Arabidopsis thaliana: one gene and its partners. The protein of the gene in region 2 interacts with the protein of the main gene of each other region in a pairwise test. Each region holds a gene or a part of one and is shown on either strand. Other genes may lie near its edges. The genes, in order: AT4G08570, ZFHD1, HB21 and RD26.

Region 1 (3,997 bases), on a different chromosome or scaffold from region 2:
ATAAGTTCCTTTAAATCAGCTCAATCTTTGACTATTTTGAATATTTCATATTTTAATTTTATCAAAACCAACATCTAATATCAGTTCTTATAAATATATTTTTCCATCAAGATTTATCTTCACAAAAAATATTATGAACTAAACACCTTTTTTTCTTAAAAAAACAGTCGTTGGTAGTCAATCATGAGTGAAAGATAATATTCCTCTCTACTTATAAACACAATCTTGGTCTTCTACGTTTAGTTTCGATATTTTGATTCACTTGTATAATTTTGCTTTTGGCTTATTCATTTTACTTTAGTTTATTTGATTGATGTCTCTGTTTTCTTTAATCAGGATCAAACAGAGAAAAAATGGAAGCACCGGAACTCCATCATTAAGTTATAAGGGCCAATCAAAGGGCAAAGCTAAAGCTACTGAGGAACCGAATGTATCATCTTTTTTTATATAAACACATGTCACCATATATTTGTTTAGCTTATATGCTTTAAAATTATCAGTATATAGTGAGTCTTAGATATACCGAACTTTTTCTCCAACTTGTGAACACCGAGCTTAAATCGAAAATCTATTTCATAAGAGTACCCGATAATCCGGTGAAAGCAAAAATTCAGGAATTATTGAAAAATATGTTAAATTTAATTATACATTATCAGACATTTTATCACAATATGTATAAAATGTTTTTCCTTATTTGCCTAAGACCACCAAAAACCTAGGCACGCTCTGCTCATGACTCGTTGACCCGAGAACCAGCTTGGGAAAAAAGCCTCCGCGATTTGACTCGGAGTTTATGGTATCCTTTGAACTGGATCACACCCAAGTTATCCAAAATAAAAAGTGAATATACTCTAAACGAATGAATTATATATCATCCACTCATCAGCAGAATATTTCAAAACATAATTTAGCTATCTATAAAACCTCTTATTTAAATTCCTTATAAGTGTTAAGAAATCTCGATTTTCTCACGTAATAGTTGTAAAGCCAAACCCGTACACCACGACTCTTACGTAGGTACTATTACCAAAACCGATAATATATAATAGTATAATATAATCTATAGCCATATACTTAATTAATTTACAAAAGCACACTCTTCTACATGATAGCGCAAGAATTAGGGTTCTCGTCGCTAAACATAATAGTGTAAGAGTCATCGACGGTGGTCTCGTTGACAGAGGCCGTGTCGGGGACTTTCCGAACCATGTTTGGTGGTGCCTTCTTGTCATACGCCTGAGATATGTACGGATTCGCCACCATTGTGTAAGGAACGTACGGCCATAACTCCACTTTCTTCTTCGTTGACTTGGCAGCCTCCAAAACCTTCTTTGGGTCTATATATCCCGTTACCGTTACCTTCTGCAGCTTTACGTCCACGTCCACTGACTTCACCCCTGTCCAAACGAGTCCAATGCAAATTAAATCCAATTTTCATGTTTTTTTTTGTTAAATGTCACATTTTCTATCGTCCAACGAGTATATAAATTGGTAGTGTTATATATATTCAAAAACACATATTGTAATGCCAATATGTCCACTCGAGATTTAAAATTTAATTATACCCCATTCATATTATTTTTGTACATATATAGAAAAATCTACTTTTTTAAAATAAAAGTTGGCATTTAAAAAATGTTAGATATATCATATATTAATGATTTTCTTTGTCTATGGCTCTATGCTTTAGACGGGGCATGTACAAAAGTAGTGGAATGAATTTGATCCGTGGTTTCGACCAACATGGCAAATCTCTAACCATTATCATGATGGTTGGCTAAAACTGATTTTCTTTACCTTTGACACCGGAGAGGACATGTTTGATCTTACGTTCACAGCCTTCGCAGTCGATACGAGCAACACGGAGAGCTACTGTTTGCATTTGCTTCTTCTTCTTCCTCTTCCTCTTCTTTAAAAGGTCTGATATATACTCCATCGTTCCTTCCACTCCCATTTTCACTCACACCACTTCTCTTTGCAGTTTTTTTTTTTTCCTTGAAGATATTAAGAGGGAAAATATGTTCAAGGAGAGTGAAGATAAAAGTGAGGAAGAAAGGCTCTTTCTTTGTACCATATATGGTGCAGGGATGAGATTACATTTATCTACAGTGAGCGCATTTCATATAGTAAAGGAGATGTGACTCATGTGACAATAGCAGATTATTTGTTTATTTGTTGAGTTGTTTTTCTTTTGCTTAGTAAAAACAAAATAAAATAGGATTACATTATTGCTTCTGAAAGAACAAAACAAAGATCATTAATTGCTTTTGGGGTCTCGTGGAGGGTGCAAGAAACTTCCACCGAGGTGAAATGAAACTTTTGGCATTTAATCCATTATATATAGAGTTAATTTGTAAACTAGTCATTTGTTTAAACTTAATTGGAAAAATAGTCACTTTATTATTTATAATTTGTAAAATAGTCACTTTTCACTGTTTGATTCGTACATTTAGATTGTACACCACTTTTAGTGTACAAATATATATAAAAATATACAGCGTACACTTTACATTTGTACACTAAAAGTGATGTACAATCTAAGTGTACGAATCAAACAGCAAAAAATGACTATTTTACAAATTATGAATAGTAAAATGACTACTTTCCTAATTAAGTATGAAAAAGTGACTATTTTGCCAACACACCCTTATATATAACCCATGCAAGTTTGGGTGGGTAATACGTACGAATACTTTTTCAGTTTTTCTCGTTTTTTTGTTTTTTTGGCCGATCGTTGTTTGTTTATTTCTAAATAAAACAAATAAATAATATATTTATATTATATGAATTTTGATGGAGGTAATCTATATTCCAAATCATAAATATGTTGGAAAGTTTTAAAAAAAAAAGAAATATGTTGGAAAGTTTTAAAAAAAAAAAGAAATATGTTGGAAAGTTTAAGACGTCCATAAAAAACGTTAAAAAAAAAAGAAAAATATTTAACTTGAAATAATTATATAAAATATATGTGACATATTTACCAGTCTTTGCATTTTGGCATTCATAATTTTTTTTTTTGTAAGCGTACCATGTCTCGTTTTTATTATTTAAAATCTACTAATTCAAAAAGTGGGAAATAACAAAAGATAATGAGTATTAGTTTATGACTTATGAGATAGGGAACAGTCAAATGTTTGAAAAATTAAACGCAGACGTAAATAACTGAGGAGTGATTTATCAATTTTGGAGGACACATGGCAGTTAGTAATTGTGTGTCATGTTTCAACGGTAGACATTGATCCAAGTTTTTGATTGGGGTCAGTTGCATTTAAAATTTAAATGAATTGACAATAATATGTAAACAAAAATACAAATGAAAATGACATTCATGTAAACTCCGATTTGTTGCCAAGACATCTGGCTCAAAGTCAAAGTAGAATTGTTGATGCGATGAGAAGTTTTGTTTTCAAAATATGTATTTTAAAGTACCACCTGTTGCTATACAATTCATTGAGATTATATAACACTACTAGTAGAAATAAGCTTACCACAATTCAACATGTAGCGACTATCTGAAGAAAACATCCACTATTACGAAGTGATCTCTCGCATCAATCATTATACCAAATACAATTTATGGTGAATGAATAAAATCATCAGAAACTCTATATGTGTGCACAAAATTGCAACCACATGTTCTATAATAAGGAGCAATATCAGATTTAGTTAGAAGGAGGGGTTGCTTTCAAACTGTTTGTAATTAAGAGGCAGCAACTCTACCACTCAAGTTTTGATATGTCCCATTTCATTACATTATGAATAACTCATCTTGTTGATTGAGTACATGTGTCACCTTTATTTCCGTTAAATTGGAGTAATACATTAGTCAATATATAGTCAGTATCTTATATTCTTACATGGAGCAATATCTACAATTTAAGTAATAAATGAGGGAACCGCGCTCGTCCATAATTGCTTTCGTTGAACACAGCCAAAGATTATAGTATACATTTTGGCTCGATAACTATTTTTAATTATTCATATGGTGGATAGGCAT
Region 2 (3,959 bases):
ATAAACACATATACCGATCTATAATGTAAATTATTTTATCCGCCAAATGCATGTTAAACAATTTGTGTACCATATATTGATCATTAATCATTGCATGCAGTTACTCGTATCTACATAGAGCTTTTGCATACATTGATCTATCTGGCATGGATATTCGTACCGGCCTTTTGTTAAGGCTTGGGCTTCGTTACTTCGTACATACATGGTAAAATACTTTGTCTCCGGCATTGAACTTACGACCATTTATACGTGATAAAGCATTCGCTATGATTCGTTAATACATGATGAATGAAAGAAAAAAAACGAATTTTTAATATCAGTGGTGCGGGAAGAGCCAAATCATTGCACATAGTAGATATTTTAGTAATCGTAACATCTGCATTGTACTTAATTAGGATAAATAAGCAAGATTGGTGTTGCCAAAGCTTATCCCTAAATGGAAAGAGATAAGCCAGCATTTTAATAACTTTTAATCATATCATATAAATTAACAACAAAAATGTGCCGCCCAGTGACCTAATTATATTCCGCCACGCCATAGTTTGTTGCAATTCGTAATAACCACGTCGTCGTATCTTCATTAAGCAAACTTTACTTACTCTATCTCTAAAGTTCAGGAGATTTATTTCTAATAATACAGAAGATAACATTGAATAATCAGAAAGTAAACAAAGAAACGAATCTTTTGATCTCTACGATCACAATTAGCGCTTATGCACTTACTATAATTAGAAATGGTCTATCAAAATTCGTTTCAACCTCCGATTTAAAAACTTATTTATTACCAAACCCATTTGTGATCTCTGACCACATCTCTGTCAAAGTGATGAAAATAGAAAAGATCAAACCGCATAAATATTTATATCAAGATCGATTACATGTTAGAGAAAAGACACTATTATATGATTTTAAACCGGTTAATGCTCATATTTTCCCAAATTAAAGTATCCTAATTCGGTTTAACCCGAATCTTGAATCTTTCTTCAAGAAGATGAAGACCCATCACCATCATTGCTGTGAGTGTTCAGACACAGGCCATGTTCGATCTCTCTGATCTTGCCATTGAGAAGTGAGTACTTGTTGTTATGCATCCACACTTTAAGAACTCCTCTCTCAATCCCAACTTCGTTACAAAACTCTCTCACCGACTTTTCATCACATCCGTTGATTTTCCAACCAGCTTTCTCTGCGAAGGCTCTCATCTTGATCTTCTGCTCCGGCGTGAATTTGGTTCTTGTTCGTTTCCTCATTGCTCCTCTTGAACTGTTCTCTGACCTAACCACCGTTGGATCTTGATCTGACGGTCCAGGGAAACCGGAGCTGAGAGAGAGAATCACGTGATGTGGAGGAGCTGAGGTGTAGTAAGAGCAAGGAACAGGAGAAGACACGTGACGAGACGGCGGCGACTCAGTGCCGGAGGGAGAAGAAATCGGAGGCGCGGTGAGGAAGTTGAGATTCTCGGAAGGGTCACGGCGGTGGAAGTTACGGTGGCAGCCACAAGCAGCGCAACGGAGAGAAGAAGGATCGGTGGAAGTAGCCGTGGGACTCGGCATAAACTCGCCGCAACCGTCGAGAGCATGGCCGCCGAGATTAGCCGCGTGGTTTTTCAAACACTCTTTGTAACAAACACCCATTTCTCCGGTGACAGTTAGTTCTCCGGCGATGGGAAGAGAGTTTAGAAGTTGTTGTTGTGGTTTGGAAGACAAATCCATAGCTTTTGTTTAGTTCTGTCTTTATAGTGTGTTTACTTAAATCTTTTGCTTTTGTGATTAATGAGAAGATTAGGTTTTGTAGTTTTATTTTATTTATTAAAAAAGGATAATTATGTAAGTGCATGTGACGATGATGTAATTATATCGGTAAAGAACATGGCAGTGATGAAATATAATTAGGACTTGGAAAATAATAATAAGTGCTTACTCACAAACGTCCAAAACATACAGCAAAAGAAAGAAAACACTCACTGTATATCAATGAAAATTCACAACTTCTTTTTTACTTTTTTTTTTTCTTGTTTTGGTGAAACAGAGATTTTTTTGAATATTTTAGTCACTAGTTTTGATATCTATTCATACGTTATATAGACAGACTATACACTTTGAACCTGTATAAAATATTGAATCTGAGGTCTTATCAGAAAGCAATGATTTTACGGGACATTTGTAAGATATGGGTTTTCACTTTCACCAGTGGGTAACTTGTTGTGTAAAAGAAATAAAAAAGATGAATAATTTCTGAGCGTGACATAAAATTTTAATTAATCGAATATATTCGAAGGAGAGGATGGGATTAGTTGGAAGATTTGAGTCCAAAGTGTATACGTGGCAATAGCCCATTACATGCATCGTACTAAAGGACAATTACAGCTGCCCTGCAGTTTCATATTCCACTGTACATATTACAGTTTCTTATTTTTAAGAGTTTACGTTACCACCCCATACTTCTGTTAATTTCACTGTATCACCCCTGCATTTTTATACTAAAACGTTTTAATCTTTTCAATTTTGATTCTGTTTAGGGACCATTTTCTTATCTAGAGGTCTAAAATCGTAAATTTTCCTATAACGATAATCTAACTAAACAATAAAGTCAATAAAATTTCTTACTAGTATAGGTATTACGTGTTCTAGTGAAATATTTGACTTATGCTAATGTACTAATTCGTTCCAAAAGGAAAAGTGCTAAACAACTAGAAGATTTTGTAGATTACCGAAAACACCTCTAAAAGAACTTCTTTCGCACGAATACTTAATACTTGACTCAATCGTGGAGCAAAGAAGAGTTTGTTGTGACAATTGCCAAACTTCATGTTTCGTAATTAATCATGAAATTTAAATGTCTAAATTCCTTAACCACCCTTTGGAAAGACTCTTATCTCTTACCGACCTTTTATTCTCACTTCTTGTCATTAGTGTGGCGCCGAAATTTAGTGTTCTTTCGCATTTTGCTTACGTTATTGATTAGCTTTTGGGTCACAATTATGTGGTGTATGTCTTCAAGTCTTCCTCTTCTAAGTACCCCACAATTATTTTGAATCTTCATTAGCCATTTTCCATATCGATTCTTATAGGGTTTGTTTTTACAACAAATATAGTTTCTATCAAAAAAATAAAAATTGAAGGAACATTTTGTGACTAGTTATTGTTACTTTTATGATGATCCATTCATGAAAAAAATGATGAACCTTTTCTTATAAGTTACAATGTTACTACATGTGAATGTTATTGGTAAGATCAAACTGCATGGCTAATTTTGTTATTAATTATAATTACTAAGGTCTTTACTCTTTAGAATTAAAGTAACAAAACAAATCAGACATCAACATTCATTTCGTTAAGCTTTGGATACTCGTTTAATTAACTTAAAATCTTATTGAAAGGCATATAAATTATTCATTAATGTATAGTTAAGAGTCTGATCCCTGAAATGAGACTAATTAAAGCATTGTTTGCGAGGAGAATAAATGAATAACAGTTGGTGTTACGTTTTGTCGTTTATCATAAACCTAGTCACCAATCACGCTTAATTAGAATCCAATTTACAACAATCGGGAGATATTTGACCATACAATAAAAATAATTAAATAAACGTATTTATTGTTTTACTAATAATTCGTTGACAGAGACTTTGATTTAACAATTTATTTACTCGTATCACAATTAGAATCATAAAGACGGATTAGAACAATCTCCTAACGATCTTGTCAATGACCGAAATAGCACGCGCATCCCGCAAACCGGCCACTAAGGTTGGAGAAAAAGTCATTTGTAGCCGAAATTTTAAATGTCATATGATCATGGGGTCATTTTTGCGTAACGTTTCTATCTATGTATATACCTATTGAATAAGTAGGTAAATGACACAAAGTAAGACTTAATTAGATAAATAACAAATGCTAAAATTCACTACTAGAAAAATAAACAGAAACAAAGACTAGATAAAAAACGATAACTACCGTA
Region 3 (4,606 bases), on a different chromosome or scaffold from region 2:
TTTCCACCATGCAATTAAATATGCATGATAAAAAGTCCTTAAAAGGCACCACATAGTTTATATAGCTCATATAACGTTCTTTAAAGAAATAAAAAACATATGTCCACCGTCCATGTTGAAACACGTACTTAGCAACCTGACAAGAAGACATGCTTTAGTTTCTATCAGGCTATAGATTCCAATGACCAATAGTCCGTATTCTAAACCGTACAAATTCTTATACGTATCATACTATCACGTATTGATGATGCGTAAAGTTGCTAATGGAGACGTTCACTGCAAATAAAAGAACATTCTTCCCCATAATGTAAAATATGCGACTTAAAAAATATCAAAATATTGACATACGCAATTCTTAATACTAAGCTCAATTTCTTTAAATAACTTATATTTTTACATGATAAATAGGAATAACAAAATAATTCTTCTTTATAAAAAAAGAAAAATTCGTAATACATTCTCAAACTGGTTATACGGTTTTGTTGATTGATTGTAGCATTTTTGTTTTCAACATATCCAATTTTTAAAGTGTATCTTGTTAGTTAGATTGTTGGTTATCCGGGTATTAATTTTAGAAGATATGTTTAACGATGTGAATGTAGTACTGAATACAATTTGGATGCTTTGACATTCACATGAATGATAATATTTATGCTTAATATTTCTATAACTAGATCAATAGAAATATACAATTTACTTATAATTGACAGATATATACATTCTTTTTTTCTTGGGTCCAAACTTGACCTCCATCGACCTAAATAATCGATGCTACGAGAAAGATATCCACAATATTACACTAGCGAATAGGCCCATAATTTTATCTACATCCTGCTTCATTGTAGATATCGACCAATCATAAATTAATGTAATTGTCACAATTAACCCCTATATATTTATATACTATACTACGACTGAAAATAGATTAGCTTATAGTTTTTTACATAAATTGGCTCATCCAGTCTAATCCATCAATGTAATCTGGCGAGTAGAGCAAGTTCTCGTCAGCCTCACCGTCAAATCCGATGTCGTAATCTCCAAAAAACGGTGTCGTATGATTGGCTTCAATGGTCACAGAGGATGAGATAGGACTGTTACTTAAAGTTCCTTCAACTCTTTTTGCAAGCCGTTGGATCTCTCTTTCAGCCTCGTAAAGTTGTTCCTTTAGGTGAATAACCTGAAATTATAATTTGATTTGATTTAGAGATAATCATTTCCCATTAACAGCTAATCATGTTATTATTAGAGTTTGATTTGATGAGTTTTATTTTGTGGGGCTGGTGATAAGAGAGACCCAATGAGTCAATGACTTAGACAAGCGAGTAACCACTAGAAAACAAAGGGTGTTTGTACGGAAAGATAATTACATATAATGACACTTTTGTTTTTTTGCTGTTCACTTTGCTGTATGATTTTCTTTTATAGAACCAAGATAATTACACTACAATTATTAGTTTACATATATTACTATTTTAGCTATAGAAGGTAACAAAAAAAAAAACTTTAAAATTCAATCAGCATTTTGATTTTTCTTTCTCATTTGCTTAATTATACTACGTGATGGTTTCACTTGGTGTCCATCATCTTGTAAAAACAATATAATTTAGAAAATATCTTTATACCTTATAGAAAAAAATAACAACATTTTTTGGTAAAACACTATAATATTTTATGTTCACAAATAGGAACTCTTGATTAAAAGAGAAAAACGGGTAACTTTTATCTTTGATCAACTTAAATAAAAGCTATAACTATATTATATTTAAAGATTATTAACCAAAATACCAAATAATTTACTTATCTTTTAGAAAATGTGAGAACGTACCTCAGAATCAAGACGACATTTCTCAACGACGGTGGTTTCGTATGCATTCTTGAGTTTAGTGTATTCATCCTCGACTCGTTTGTTCTTCCACCGTGCACGGCGGTTTTGGAACCAGACGGCGACTTGACGAGGATCAAGCCCTAACTCAGAAGCAAGCCGATCTTTCCTCTCGGATTCAAGCTTATGATCGTCTTCAAAGCTAATCTCCAACATTCTTACTTGCTCATCACTCAATTTTCTCTTTCTAAACCACCCATTGCCTTCGTTTTCACCCTCCTCTGCCACCACAACACTCTTGCTCTTCCTTTTCCTCCGCCGTGTTGGTTTTGCTTCTCCTCCTGGTCAAAGAAACCCATCAAAACCAATGGTACAACAAAACATAAATTCTTTAAATGTTTAGCTCTTTTAAGTCTTCTCTAGTATCATGTACGTATATGAAAATGAAAAGACTACAGAAGACAAACATATTATCCAGAACAAAAATAAAGAAGACCCACTTGAAGATATTTCTATAACCAATTTTGGATGTCTTTTTTAATATATGAAAACAAAAAAATGGAACTTTAGGATGTGCAAACCTTGTTGTGGTACTAATGGAGTATAGACATTAGGGTACAATTGAGAAATGAGTAGAAGATTATGATCATCTACATTCTGGTTATTCATGTTTCTTCTTTTCGTTCTCTAGACCTTCTTCTTCTTCTCTCTCTTAGATTCAAAAGATTGGTGATGTTTTTTGTCTCACCTTTTCTGCAATAAGAGAAGATGTGTTAGGAGAAGCAGAGGACTTATCATTTATAAAGGAGGAGTAGGTGTCAAGGGATGGTTTGATTAGAGTTTTTTTTTTTCTAATACATATTTCTTTTTTCCGGATTTGGGCTTATGATTCTTTCAAATAACATTATTGCCACTTAGCAAATCAAGACTAGTAGTAGATCTCAAATGACATATGTACATCACTTTCGTTAATATCTTAATAGTTAATATTGTTTCATATTGAAAATACATGACTTTAACTTGACAATATCATTTTCTTTGTCAAATTCATGTGACAATAAGTAAGAGACCAAAAAAAAAAAAAAGAATAAACAACCTCCCAATATTATTTGGACTATAAAATCATTTTATGTTTTTATAATTTGGTAACAATTGATAAATGGATCATTTTATGTTTTTATATATAAAATAGAAATCTTAACTAGAATTGAAAATTTATAATGCGGATATATTGTTTACGTAGGAATTTTCTAAAATATGCAGCCTATAGTTCAATAACTTTTCAACTAAACCGCCGTAGTTTAATTTATTCGATCTTTGTTGTAGATCTTACACTTTGTTGGCAATTTGGAACCAAAACTCACTTAATTACTAGAGCTCCTAAATAGTGTGTGTTTTGACATACAAACCCTTGATTATCTTAAGAAGCATAAACAAGTTAATTAGTTCATGTAAATTCTTATCAAAACAAAAAAAGTCTTATGAAACATATTCCATTTTTAAAATGCTTCTTAAGGTATGGATATTAACACGTACGTAGTCTTTAAAACCAAAGCAATAATCAATATATAGGTCGCCTTTGAAAAACTAAAGGAAATACATGTAATTATCATTTATAAATATGTAATGCGATAAAGCTTAATTTACGTGTGATGAGAGGATTAGAGGATGTCGTTATCACCATCATATGGATAAGTCTAAGCAACAACCTAAAAGAGAAAACATAACTGACTTGTCTTTCAAAAGGTAGTTTACTTTTACTCTCATCTCTCGTATACTAATAATTTTACTCACTCTTTCAAATGTTTTCTTTAATCGGTTTTTAAACTCGAAACATATATGGTCTACGTTAATGTTAACGTTTATTTTGTTGTATAGCCAAAATGGAAACACATTTTAGGTTATTCAGAGTTTAAAATAATAAATACGAGGTAATCGTTTTTCTTTTTAGCAATGATCAACATATATTTTGAACATACGTATGCATATGTACATACTGTAAAAATAACATTTCATAAATAAATAACAATATTCTGCATATAGAATCCATGTAAAACCGTGGTAAGTTATATTCAAAGAACAAAGTAACCTTCAAAATTTGGGTTTAATACATATACCTTAAAATTCAAACTACTCTACCCATTTTGAACAACTATTTTGTTTTGTTTTCTTAGAAAACGTTTTTACAAATGTTGACATACCCAGATTATATCTTTACCCATTTTGAATAATTGTTTTTCCTGTTTTACATTCTGAATAATTTAGATATATATATGACTTAATGTTATATATATATATATATATATATATATAGATATATTAAAATAAAATATATAATTTTAATATAGAAAATATATATATTGTGGAAAAAATGGCTAATTGTTAGTGAACGAGACTTCAGTGAGATCTACAGAAGAAGAATCTCAAAGATCCATGAAATTTAGGTCAAATCGGTTGAGATTTTAAAACTTAACTCTATGATACCATATTAGTGAACGAGAATTTGAAAAAAAAACGAAGAAGATGAAATTATTCTGTTATTCCTCTTAAAGATTCCGTTACAATGATACACTCTATTTGTATAATTAGAGTATTCGGTTAATCATGGATAATCTAACGTTTGATTCCTGGTTTACATAACCAATTTATATATTCAAATGAGTTAAAGTTAAGCTTTAAAACGAAGAAAAAAAAATGCTTAAAACCACGAAAATCAGTGTACGTACACCTTAATACACAAAAAAGTACATACATCAATCGATATTTTTTACTTTCTTTCATCGC
Region 4 (3,597 bases), on a different chromosome or scaffold from region 2:
GTGATGCCCAGATAAGGCACACAAACCCGGCAACTCCCGATCTCAACGTGAAGTAAAATAGTTTATTTTAAATAAATTTACAGAGTGGCGTCTACAAATTCACAATCAACACGTTTCTTTTGACACCAGTCGACACATAATAAAACAGGAAGAATAAACTAGACATGAAGATCTCAAACACCTCTTCGTTAATGCTGTTTTTTCTTGCGGCCATGTTATGTTTCTTGCGAGCCAAGTCACAAGGAGTTTACTGCAGCAACCCTTAGGAACGATGCTTCCAAAAGTACATACTGTGTCCGCAAGAATGTCCCACCACCGGTGCCGCAAACTCTATGAACAGAGTCTGTTACGTAGAGTACTCTGCAACTCCGAGTGTCGCAGTAAGCGAAAATGCCTTTGAACTTTTTGTATTAAGCTTTTTACCAAATTTTGGGTGTTAAGTTATTCAATTCAGAACTTAAACCGTTTTGTGCAAATGGTATCAACACATAACCGGTGTAAAAATATTGGTAACCATTTATTTTTCTCTCCGTTGAGAAACATTACACATTTGTGGGCCGTCAAGTTGGATCAAACTAGTCCCCAGTCGAGCCTTTTTCCTTTGTGGAATCCTAAGCCTCACCGAATCGGTAAAAGCCCCATATAAATCCCTATTATTTACATCAATTGCCACTCTACTATCTCCAAGTTTTTTTTTTACTTTTTTCACCCATCAGTAACTTCACATCTCTCTCATTGCCTAAACTCGAATGTTTGACCCGAAACACCAAACCCACTCGAGCTGTACCCGAAACTCTGAGTCAACCCGCTCGAGTTCTGCTGCCGATTCACATGCCCACTCTCCGCCTCACCTTCCGCCGCTCGAAACGCATCGTAACCACCGTAACTCGGTAATCCATTGGTCGGAGCTAGCTCTGGAATTGGATTAAGACCTGCCAAGCTAGCCCAATCAAAGTTCCCGTTAAGAATCGTCCTGAGCGAATTCATCCGAGGAAGATTAAAAGACTGGTCTTTTATCTCCGGGAACGAATCAAGAACGTCGTCAAGCTGTGATGAAGAAGACGATGACGACCCATTCGTGCTATGCTCTTCACGACAAGCTTGAACAGGAGTAACAGCTTGTCTCTGAGATCCAGATGTTTTCTTGTAAATTCGACACAACACCCAATCATCCAACTGTAACAAAGAAGCAAACTTTATCAGATTTTGATTTCAATTTTAACGAATTTGGATCTGGGAAAGTTTCAGTCTTTATTTACCTTGGAGCTTCCATGGCTACGAGAATGTTCTATTAAGCGATACTCGTGCATAATCCAGTTGGTTTTAGTGCCTTTGGGAGCTTTTCCGGCGTAAAAGACCAGAGCTTTTTTAATCCCGACACGACGACCATCCGCCGTGATAATTTTGTCAGTACCCGTTGCTTTCCAATAACCCGACCCGGCTACTCTATTGGGTCTTGACCCGTTCGGATATTTCCGATCTCTTGGGCTAAAGAAATACCATTCCTTCTCTCCAAACAAAGCCTTACCTAAATAGTTACAATTATACTCCCTTTAGTTTTAACATTTTCTCAAATTAAACCCAAAAGTATGACAATTGAAAATAACACCCTACAAATGTGAAACATGTTTGCTTACTTGGCAAATCCCAAGGATCGAACTTGTAGAGATCGATGTCTCCGATGACCTGGAGAGAGAAATGATAGCCTGCAACTTTCCGACATAGATACTGAACAAGAAGCTCTTCATCTGTCGGATAAAATCTAAAACCTGGTGGCAAACTCAACTGGGCTAACGGATCTTTCTCTCTAACACCCATTTATACTCTTCTACTTCGATTCCTCAGCAACCAAAAAAAAAAAGATTTCAAGTTTCGAACTCTAAAAACCCAAATTATATGTTTTTGTTTTTATGTTCGTCGATCTTTTGGACAATATAGTAAGTAGTTGGTTTATATAGGCTACGGAAAAGCCAAAGGTTCTTCAAGGATAAGTACGGTCGTCCTTGTCTTACTGTTCTAAAATCTAATTACGATTTTCTTTGTGGACCCGTTTAACCATTTAGATACTGCCACGTCTATGAACTGGCCGACCTTATCGATGTGTTGTACAATATTTTCCAGCGATATAAATGTGCAAAAAACACGAGGAAAATTTTCTCATGAGTAAGAAATTTGTGTACTACGATTATGAGAAAAGTCCGCTGAGTGATTGCAGTAATTTATTTTTTCTTATTCCATCGTGACATGTAAAATGTCTAAATATTTACTAGAAATATTCTAATTATAGTAAGTTTTTTTCCACTGAGAAAGCAATGAAGCTTTATTATTTCTATATTCGACTATATTGGTGCCGTTCGGGTGCATGAACCGTCAGGAAAAGCTAAAGTTTATCGACACGTGTTAAGCCAGTTGTCCTTTCTTCTAGAATTTTGATCAAAAGCCTAACAACGATGTGTATCAAAATGCTCCAAATAATTAGAGGCCAGTTCGATATTTAGTTTGTCCTGAAGCACTCGATCACTACATAGATTGGAGTCAGAAAAAGAAAAGAAGAAGCACTAACTATTTGACAGATAAATCTATTGAGTAAAACAAATGGCACTAAGACGTTTTTATGAACAAAAGAGTATTAATCAGACACGCGTGGAATGCATTTTCCCGTCCGTGTGAATTGTACACGTGTTGGGAGAGTTAGGCAAGACTTCAATATAAAAGAATCAAAAGAGACAAAAAAGAAGAAAAAGTAATAATAAAAACAGCAGAAAATATTGAACAAGTGTACAAACTACAAAGTTCTAACTAAAATAAATTGAAAAGATACGTTAACATAAGACACGTATATACAGAACACTAATAGTATGATTTTAATATTTTTTAGTTAAAGATAATAACATTTGAGAATATATGATCGTTTGTATTATACCATTAAGATTATCTCACAAATGTAGCAAGTAGTCTCTTTGTTTTTGATTAAAGGATAAATTTCAAGTTTTGTCAGAACAACTAAATTCGATTTTTATATATATTTCAATGATTATCTCATAAAAGACTTATTTCATATATTTTAGTTTATATTTAAACAAAAAGAGGTTAATTAGGGTTTCGTTCACTCAAGAAATACTAGAAATGGCCTAAGAAGTTGACAAGTGAATATTTGGACCATGCTGAACAGGTCAGAGAAGCCTTTTTATATATAAACATGTGACGCGATTCAAAGAACTCGATTCTTCTTCTTCTTGATAATTCTTTTTTTTTTGTTCTTAATTATTATTATTCTCTACAAATCGTTTTCAATTGCTTTTCGGATTTTTAGATTTTAGTGAACGTGGAGAATTCTTGTTCACAGAGAGATGGACATGCCCACCCATTTCTTTTGTAAGATAATAATTTCTGAATATCAGCAAAGATACGACAAGTTTGGTTCAACGATTCGCATAACTGCAAAATGTGTTGATAAGAAACTCATCAATCGCTATTCAATTAGCGTATAATGCTCTTATGATCCTGACAAAAAAATAAATTAAGAGATATGGTTTTGATGACAATGAGGTAAAGAACAGATTGCCATAATCTAAACTTGTTCAAAAAATTCTTCAA

What was found.
Region 1: the proteins of ZFHD1 (region 2) and AT4G08570 interact in a two-hybrid assay, tested with the Arabidopsis thaliana proteins (one study listed by BioGRID).
Region 3: the proteins of ZFHD1 (region 2) and HB21 interact in a two-hybrid assay, tested with the Arabidopsis thaliana proteins (one study listed by BioGRID).
Region 4: the proteins of ZFHD1 (region 2) and RD26 interact in a two-hybrid assay, tested with the Arabidopsis thaliana proteins (one study listed by BioGRID).

Annotation. Positions count from the first base shown.
Region 1 is NC_003075.7:5,454,022-5,458,018, forward strand, and holds AT4G08570 (Heavy metal transport/detoxification superfamily protein), read right to left. Parts: upstream 2,080-3,997; 5' UTR 1,955-2,079; coding exon 1,798-1,954; intron 1,398-1,797; coding exon 1,102-1,397; 3' UTR 559-1,101; downstream 1-558. UniProt on the Arabidopsis thaliana protein: Heavy-metal-binding protein.
Region 2 is NC_003070.9:26,180,223-26,184,181, reverse strand, and holds ZFHD1 (zinc finger homeodomain 1), read right to left. Parts: upstream 2,027-3,959; 5' UTR 1,713-2,026; coding exon 984-1,712; 3' UTR 636-983; downstream 1-635. UniProt on the Arabidopsis thaliana protein: Transcription factor involved in the up-regulation of several stress-inducible genes. Acts as a transcriptional activator by interacting with MED25 and NAC proteins. Involved in increased drought tolerance.
Region 3 is NC_003071.7:8,048,723-8,053,328, forward strand, and holds HB21 (homeobox protein 21), read right to left. Parts: upstream 2,595-4,606; 5' UTR 2,492-2,594; coding exon 2,404-2,491; intron 2,164-2,403; coding exon 1,826-2,163; intron 1,178-1,825; coding exon 941-1,177; 3' UTR 649-940; downstream 1-648. UniProt on the Arabidopsis thaliana protein: Probable transcription factor.
Region 4 is NC_003075.7:13,707,196-13,710,792, forward strand, and holds RD26 (NAC (No Apical Meristem) domain transcriptional regulator superfamily protein), read right to left. Parts: upstream 1,819-3,597; coding exon 1,610-1,818; exon of another isoform or gene 1,552-1,609; coding exon 1,260-1,551; intron 1,177-1,259; coding exon 733-1,176; 3' UTR 705-732; downstream 1-704. Other genes in the region: AT4G27415 (uncharacterized protein), read left to right, coding at 3,357-3,491. UniProt on the Arabidopsis thaliana protein: Transcription factors that bind specifically to the 5'-CATGTG-3' motif and with bipartite regions with 5'-CGTr-3' and 5'-YACG-3' as cores.